Caenorhabditis elegans: one gene and its partner. The protein of the gene in region 2 interacts with the protein of the main gene of each other region in a pairwise test. Each region holds a gene or a part of one and is shown on either strand. Other genes may lie near its edges. The genes, in order: sepa-1 and pgl-3.

The links.
Region 1: the proteins of pgl-3 (region 2) and sepa-1 interact in binary tests that used the Caenorhabditis elegans proteins (3 or more experiments, as listed by UniProt).

What each region holds. Positions count from the first base shown.
Region 1 is NC_003279.8:13,298,866-13,302,783, forward strand, and holds the start of sepa-1 (Protein sepa-1), read right to left. Parts: upstream 1,852-3,918; 5' UTR 1,837-1,851; coding exon 156-1,836; intron 29-155; coding exon 1-28. UniProt on the Caenorhabditis elegans protein: Adapter protein that connects P-granules in somatic cells with the autophagic machinery.
Region 2 is NC_003283.11:4,754,089-4,758,006, forward strand, and holds the start of pgl-3 (Guanyl-specific ribonuclease pgl-3), read left to right. Parts: upstream 1-1,896; 5' UTR 1,897-1,921; coding exon 1,922-2,038; intron 2,039-2,084; coding exon 2,085-2,231; coding exon of another isoform or gene 2,232-2,235; intron 2,236-2,276; coding exon 2,277-2,635; intron 2,636-2,682; coding exon 2,683-3,023; intron 3,024-3,069; coding exon 3,070-3,212; intron 3,213-3,262; coding exon 3,263-3,434; intron 3,435-3,477; coding exon 3,478-3,860; intron 3,861-3,911; coding exon 3,912-3,918. Other genes in the region: hil-4 (Histone H1.4), read left to right, coding at 265-543, 730-1,212. UniProt on the Caenorhabditis elegans protein: Guanyl-specific endoribonuclease which cleaves the phosphodiester bond in single-stranded RNA between the 3'-guanylic residue and the 5'-OH residue of adjacent nucleotide, resulting in the formation of a corresponding 2',3'-cyclic phosphate intermediate.

The DNA of each region.
Region 1 (3,918 bases), on a different chromosome or scaffold from region 2:
TTCTCGGCCAGAGCAGGTGAAGCAGGTGCTGAAAATTTTCAAAGGTTTAGGTGATTTTTGTACTTTCACAGTAAGCCTACAGTACCCCTTAACCTATTTCCAAAAGAAATACGGGTAATAGCTACAGAAATAAAGTTTTTGAAAAGCATACATACCTTCAACTTGAGCAGCTTCTTCCGAAGGCACTGAGCTTGAGACGACTTGTTTCTTTCCGGCTCTTTCCATTCTTCGTTTCTCCAACTCGTCAATTTGAGCATTAATTTTGTTCAGCCGACTCTTGAGCTCTCTCCGCTTTTTCTTCTTGTCCATTGCTGCAACATCCGGCTCATAGGTGACATTCTTCACAGGCTCTGGTTCGTTGGCGTCCTGATGCTTCGATTCTGCTTCTTTTTCCAATAAGCCCTCAGACATCGTATCGTCCAATTCCTGATACCCATATGTATTTCCACCTTCAGAAGCAGCTGTAGTCGGCTCTTCGGGATCCTTCGCAATTTGGAGCTTCTCGAGATTCTTCACTATATTCTCTTCCGTCTCAGCTGATTCCACTCTAGGCGCCTTTCTGGGAATCTCTTGATCCTGTGTCAATCCAAGTTCCTTTCTCAAGTCACAATTAAAAGATTCAACCATCGCTAACACGGTTTCCATTATATCTTCGCCCTCCGTCTGAACTGGATGTTGTGGCTCGACTCGCTCCGTGCTAGCCTTCTTCTTTTCGAATTCAGTTTTCATCTCAACCCATTGAACTTGGAATGTTTTCACCGCAACTGGCTGCATCTTCTCGAAGCCTCCACTTCCAGATGTTTCTTTCTGAAGTCTTCCATCACGACCTCTCATGATCATATACACCTTGCGATTGTCTATATTTTCCGCCATAAACAAGTTCAGCCCACTGGTGATCTTTTTCGGATCATAAACTAGATTGCGTTTAACTTGAACGAATCCAAATGTACGGACATCATAGATGTACTGCTCGATTTGATTATTCTCGGTGTTATGAACATGAATCACCAATTCGGATGCATTACGCTCCACATACAATGGAATAAGGTTCGATTCGGTGACTTCACATGTGCAAAGAGTGCAGGAAATCTTCTGGAAGTCGCCTGTTTCGTCAATGTACTCGAGTCTTGTGTAATCCCCGCTAGTCTTTGAATAGACGCATAGAAATTCTTTGTTCAAATGCAGACATTGACGAACTTGGAATCGTGGGAGATTCTTCTGATACTCTGCGTAGAGTCTATCAAAGCTCTCATTACCTGATGAAATCTTGACTTCATCAGAATTCGCGGCTCTATCCCACCTATCACGTTCCAGATCTTGAAGCGTCAGAGTCCTTAAAGCAGCTGTTGGAAGAGTTCGGAACTGTCCATAACTTGTAGATTCCTTACTGAGAAGACCACGGCAATCTCTTTCAATCACGACCAGCTCGCCTTCAGGACCATTTAGAGCAACCACAACGTTTCCTTTAACAAGAAACGCCGGATTGTACTTAATCTCGGGACGATTCACTTCAACAAAGCAATCCGTCTTGAAAGCGTAGATAAACTGCTCCATCTTCCCGGTCATTGTATTATACCCGAAGAGCACGAAATCTTCGAGTAGGTCACTGTAGACAGCGTAGTACGGAGAAATGTGCTTCTCGGTGAGAATTGGTTGGCATATGAGGCATTTGTGAGGGATCAAATCACCAGCATCCGTTTTCTCATAGCAAAAGCGTTGTCTGTTTGGGCGAAGAACACTGACCACGTGGATAGCAGTGGCAGGGCACTTTCCGAGTGCAAACTTCGGTGGAGGTGAAGGCGCTGGATTGGAGGTAAGAGCAGAAAGAGGTGTCATCTTGGAGATTTTTCTGGAATTAAGGTGTAGTTAGATTAAGAATAATTGAAAACGTATACAAATGCAATAAAAAAGTGATAAGTGAAATTACCAGGCGCGATTAAAAATAGGAGTTTAAAGGAAATTTAGAAGTATAAGAACCACTGCAAAAAATCAAAAATGAAAAAGTAGTGAGCAAAAAGTGTTGTAGGAGTTAATACAAAACGACGAGTGCAACAGGACATATAAACGTATCAAGTAAAGTTTATCGATTGGTAAATGCTCCCGCCAACTCCGCGTACAGAACACCTGGGAATAAGCAATCAATACAGATTGTTGTATAATACTAGGCGGGAAGATGCACAAATTTTGTGGGCTAGAATTTAGGTAAGGCTACTGCTAGGGCTGAAAATTAAATAAAATGAATCGAAAATATGAATCTCGTAAATCCACAAGTGCGGTACGGTTTTTATGGGCGATGCCTTTTCTGACGAAAATTTCGGCGTTAAATAGGATTTTGGGATTTTAATAAATTAATATAAAATCACGGAAATTTTTTATATTTTTTTCACATCGATATTTGGTATCAGGGGCATAAATAGCGTCTTTAGTCCTCCTTTGTGTTAAAATCAAGTTTTGAATAAAACCATCAAAGTACAACTGATATTTTTTGTCCAATTTTTGGTAAAACCACAAGTAACTACAAGATACACTTTTAGAAAAGGGAACTACGGACATATCAATTTCAAGAATACATCATATTTGAAAAAGGCAAAAAGGAAACAAATACTGTAGTTCATAGCCGAGAACAAAAAAATGGAAACAGGAGCTCTAGAGACTGACTAGAGAAAAGAAAAACGACCTACTAGAGGCGATGCAGGCAGACTGAATGATGTCTTCTGCTCTTCAAGACAACTCAGAGCATCTGGAGCAAACGCTGCAACCAATTTAAATCGATACTCAGCTCTTGGGATACCAGATTCGGGAAAGAGGTGGGAATTGGCAGATGTTTTTATCGACTGATGTAAGATTGAGACGACTACCAGGAGAAGATCTACAAACGAATGTAGTATATTGATGGTTTTTAACAAAATTTCTGGGAACTGATTTTACAGATATGGTAAATCTCAACATGTTACGGCTGCTGATCTAATAGAAAGAATTATCGGCAATCTGAACAGAAAAGTATCCAAGATATGGGCGGAGCATGAACTGAATATGGCACCGCCCATATCTTGGCTACATGTACTTCTCACATTTCTTCATAAATTTCTCCTATACTCCCATTATTAAGACAAAGCAAGGTCAGCTTAAATTCCCAGACACTGAGCAAGGACGCGATCCACCTGAGAGTAATTCGACCAGGGGTGGACGGCAAATGATTTTTTGCCGGAATTTGCAAATTGGCGGAAATGAAAATTTCCGGCAAATCGGCAAATTGCCGGAATTGAAAAGTTCCGGCAAATCAGCAAACCGGCAAATTGACGCTTTGCCAAATTTGCCAGAAAAACGGGCAAATTGTGGTTTTGCACATTTTTTTTGGAAATTTCAGAATTTCGATTTCACTCAGCAGACTTTTACGCATCCTATGAATGTTCCTACATCTATTTTTAAAAATAAGCAAACTCTATGAATATATCTAAAGAAAACGGAATAAAATTTCAAAAAGGCACAGTTTTAAGTGCTTCTGTCATATAAAAAGCCCCTCTAAACACTTCCGGCAATTGGCAAACCGGCAAACCTCCGGAATTGAAAACTTCCGGCAAATCGGTAAACCGGCAAATTGCCGGAATTCAAAACTTCCGGCAAATCGGCATCTTGCCGCTTTGCCGAGTTTGTCGACAAAAAAATTTGCCGAACGGCAATTGCCGCCCACCCTTGAATTGGACTACAAATGTGGACAGAAGATTCATAGAATCAGAGAAAATTACATCCATTTGCCGGATTTCTTTTGGAAACGTGCCCCATTTTAATTTGCCTCAAAGAGAACCTGGCAATCCCATTCTAAAAGACTATGACGTCAAGCAAGATTTTCAGCAATGATTTTTTTCCCGCCGTTTCTAAAGGCACACAAATTTACAGTTGTCTTTTATTTATGGAACA
Region 2 (3,918 bases):
ATTCGAGAGTAATTTCTATCGATTGTTGGCTTAATTTGTTGCTAAACTATTCATCTTTAAGATTCTGAAAAGAAAATTCAATTTCATAAAGAACCGAGAAAGTTATGCGTGATTTAGTCAAGTGCCCTCAAGTTTCGCGCCATTTCGCATTCGGCGCCAAACAAGATGTGTCCCGACAGGGTGGTAGAGCGCGAGTATATAAGGATGGCGCGCGCTCATTTCTCACACTCACTCTCCAAGTGACCACTACTCATCCGTTCAACAATGTCTGACGTCGCCGTTGCCGCCGACACCACCGAAACTCCAGCAGCCCCAACGAAAGCTTCAAAAGCTACGAAGGCTTCAAAAGCTACGAAGGCTTCAAAAGCTACGAAGGCCAAGACTACCAAGGTGCCAATGGTCAAGGCCGATGCCGCCCATCCACCATTCATCAATATGGTCACCGAAGCCATCAGCAGCATCAAGGACCGCAAAGGACCTTCCAGAGCCGCAATTCTCAAGTATATCACTACAAAATACACGCTTGGAGATCAGGCTAACAAGGTATGTGTTTTATTTAAAGCAGAAAAGCTAAATTCAAATCAATTTTTCTGAAAAATTTTGACCAGGTTTTTGATTACAATAACTTCATTTTTAACCTAAAAATTCTTAAAATAATAAATTGCCGAACAGAAAAGCAGAAAAAAAACTATGTAGAGATGACGTTCCCTAAATTTACCTTTCTTTCAGATCAACGCTCACCTCCGCAAAGCTCTTAACAAGGGGCTTGAAAGTAACGCCTTCGTCCAGGCTAGCGGAAATGGAGCCAACGGACGGTTCCGTCTTGCCGAGAAGACAGCCTCCGTGGCCAAGTCGCCAGCTGCAGCAAAGAAGGACGCCACTGGAGAGAAGAAGGCTACGACGACCGTCGCCAAGAAGGCCGCCACTGGAGAGAAGAAGGCTACGACGACCGTCGCCAAGAAGGCCGCCACTGGAGAGAAGAAGGCTACGACGACCGTCGCCAAGAAGGCCGCCGCTGGAGACAAGGCCAAGAAGACTGAAGTCAAGGTGAAGAAGGTCAAGTCGCCGAAGAAGATCGCCAAGTCTCCAGTCAACAAGGTCACCAAGTCTCCAGTCAAGAAGATCGCCAAGTCTTCATCCATGAAAGCCGCTCCAAAGAAGGCCGCTGCCAAGCCAGCCAAGAAAGCTCCCGCCGCCGCCCCAGAGGCCTAATCACATTGTGTGAATAATCAAATTAATTTCGATCTCACCATTGTATTATATCTCTCCCTCTTGTAGGTGTCCCAGATACTGGTTTTTTTGCATCTAATCATTATTTATTGTTCCTTTGACAAACCAATTCCTATCAATGAACCAATTACTGCATAAAGTTTCAGCGTTTTCTCGTCTTTTCAAAACCTTTCAGATTTTCGGAACAGTGTTCACAGCGGGAAAAGATAGATAAAGTCCCGGAACATCTAGCAGACAGTCTTCTTCACCGTTTGGAAATTTTTGTTGTTTTCCTTCTGGAAAAATTGTATATCAAGTTCATTCGACTGATCAAGCTCGATTTCTTAAAATACACAACTTATCGGCTTAACTTGCAATTTTTGCAATATTCAGATCTTTTTTCAAATAAAGCAACAAATTCTGTTTAAATTTACTCGCAATATTTCGAATTCGGTAATGAAAAGTACTTTCAGAGAACTTTCTAGATTTTTTTTTGAAAAACTGATTTAATTTTTAAAGGCGCACGCCTTTTCCCACGCGATGGGTCCCGACTGGAAAAGCCTCCACGAACTTTTCGATGATTTAGAAGTCAATTTTTTTAAAAAGTTTTTTGTGTGTTTTTGCTCGAAGTTTCTTATTTTCAATCATCATTTGGTGAATTTAAACATTTTACACGTAAAATTTCAGTGTTATTCGTGATTAAAAAGTTCACATGGAAGCAAACAAACGACAAATTGTGGAGGTCGATGGGATTAAGTCCTACTTTTTCCCCCATCTCGCCCATTACCTCGCGAGCAATGACGAGCTGTTGGTCAACAACATAGCACAGGTTTGACTGTAACTATTGGGATTTTTGTTAAATATTCTTCTTACAGGCGAACAAGCTTGCAGCTTTCGTCTTGGGAGCCACCGACAAACGCCCAAGCAATGAAGAAATTGCGGAGATGATCCTGCCAAATGACTCCAGTGCCTACGTGCTTGCTGCTGGCATGGACGTTTGCCTTATTCTCGGGGATGACTTCGTTGGTTTAATTCCGAAATGTTCTTGTATTAATAATTCATTTCAGCGACCAAAGTTCGATTCTGGCGCTGAGAAGCTGAGTCAGCTTGGACAAGCTCATGATTTGGCTCCAATCATCGATGATGAAAAGAAAATCTCGATGCTCGCCCGAAAAACAAAGCTAAAGAAGTCGAATGACGCCAAGATTCTGCAAGTCTTGCTCAAAGTTCTCGGTGCGGAAGAAGCGGAAGAGAAGTTTGTCGAGCTCTCGGAACTGTCGAGCGCCTTGGATCTTGATTTCGACGTCTATGTCTTGGCAAAACTGCTTGGATTTGCATCGGAGGAGCTCCAGGAAGAAATTGAAATCATCCGTGACAACGTCACAGATGCGTTTGAGGCCTGCAAGCCGTTGTTGAAGAAGCTGATGTAGGTTATCATGATTTAATGTTGTGTGTCTCAGGAGTGTTTTTCAGGATCGAGGGACCGAAGATTGATTCTGTGGACCCATTCACCCAACTTCTGTTAACTCCACAAGAAGAATCTATCGAAAAAGCTGTATCCCACATCGTTGCTCGCTTCGAAGAAGCCAGCGCCGTCGAGGATGATGAATCACTCGTCCTGAAATCTCAGCTAGGATATCAATTGATTTTCCTCGTCGTTCGCTCACTTGCTGATGGAAAGCGTGATGCTTCCAGGACAATCCAATCGTTGATGCCGTCGAGTGTCCGAGCGGAAGTGTTTCCCGGATTGCAACGGAGTGTTTTCAAAAGTGCCGTGTTCCTCGCAAGCCATATCATTCAAGTCTTTTTGGGATGTTAGTTACAAAGATTGCAAACTTCTTTGAACAGTTTCTTTTTCAGCCATGAAGTCATTCGAGGATTGGGCGTTTGTTGGCCTCGCTGAAGACTTGGAGAGCACGTGGAGAAGAAGAGCAATCGCTGAATTGCTGAAAAAGTTCAGAATCTCTGTTCTCGAGCAGTGCTTTTCTCAACCAATCCCACTGGTAAAATTATTCCTTCACGTGAACTTATAATCAATATTTTCCTTTTTCAGCTCCCTCAAAGCGAGTTGAACAACGAAACTGTCATCGAGAATGTGAATAATGCTCTCCAATTTGCATTGTGGATCACAGAGTTCTACGGATCGGAGAGTGAGAAGAAATCACTCAATCAGCTTCAATTCCTAAGCCCAAAATCCAAGAATCTTCTTGTTGATAGCTTCAAAAGTAAGCAAAAAGGCTTCTTATTTTAATCGAATAAATTTTACAGAGTTCGCCCAAGGACTGGATTCTAAAGATCACGTGAATCGTATCATTGAATCTCTGGAGAAGAGCAGTTCGTCGGAACCTTCTGCAACTGCAAAACAGACCACAACTTCCAATGGACCGACCACCGTCTCTACTGCAGCTCAAGTAGTAACTGTTGAAAAGATGCCATTCAGTCGTCAAACGATTCCATGTGAAGGAACAGACTTGGCGAATGTGCTCAATTCTGCAAAGATCATCGGAGAAAGTGTTACCGTGGCTGCCCATGATGTCATTCCGGAGAAACTAAATGCGGAGAAGAATGACAATACTCCATCAACTGCCTCACCTGTTCAATTTTCTAGCGATGGTTGGGATTCTCCGACAAAATCTGTTGCTCTGCCACCGGTAACAATTTTTTAAATTTATTTTGTATTTAATATAATAACCGATTTTCAGAAGATCT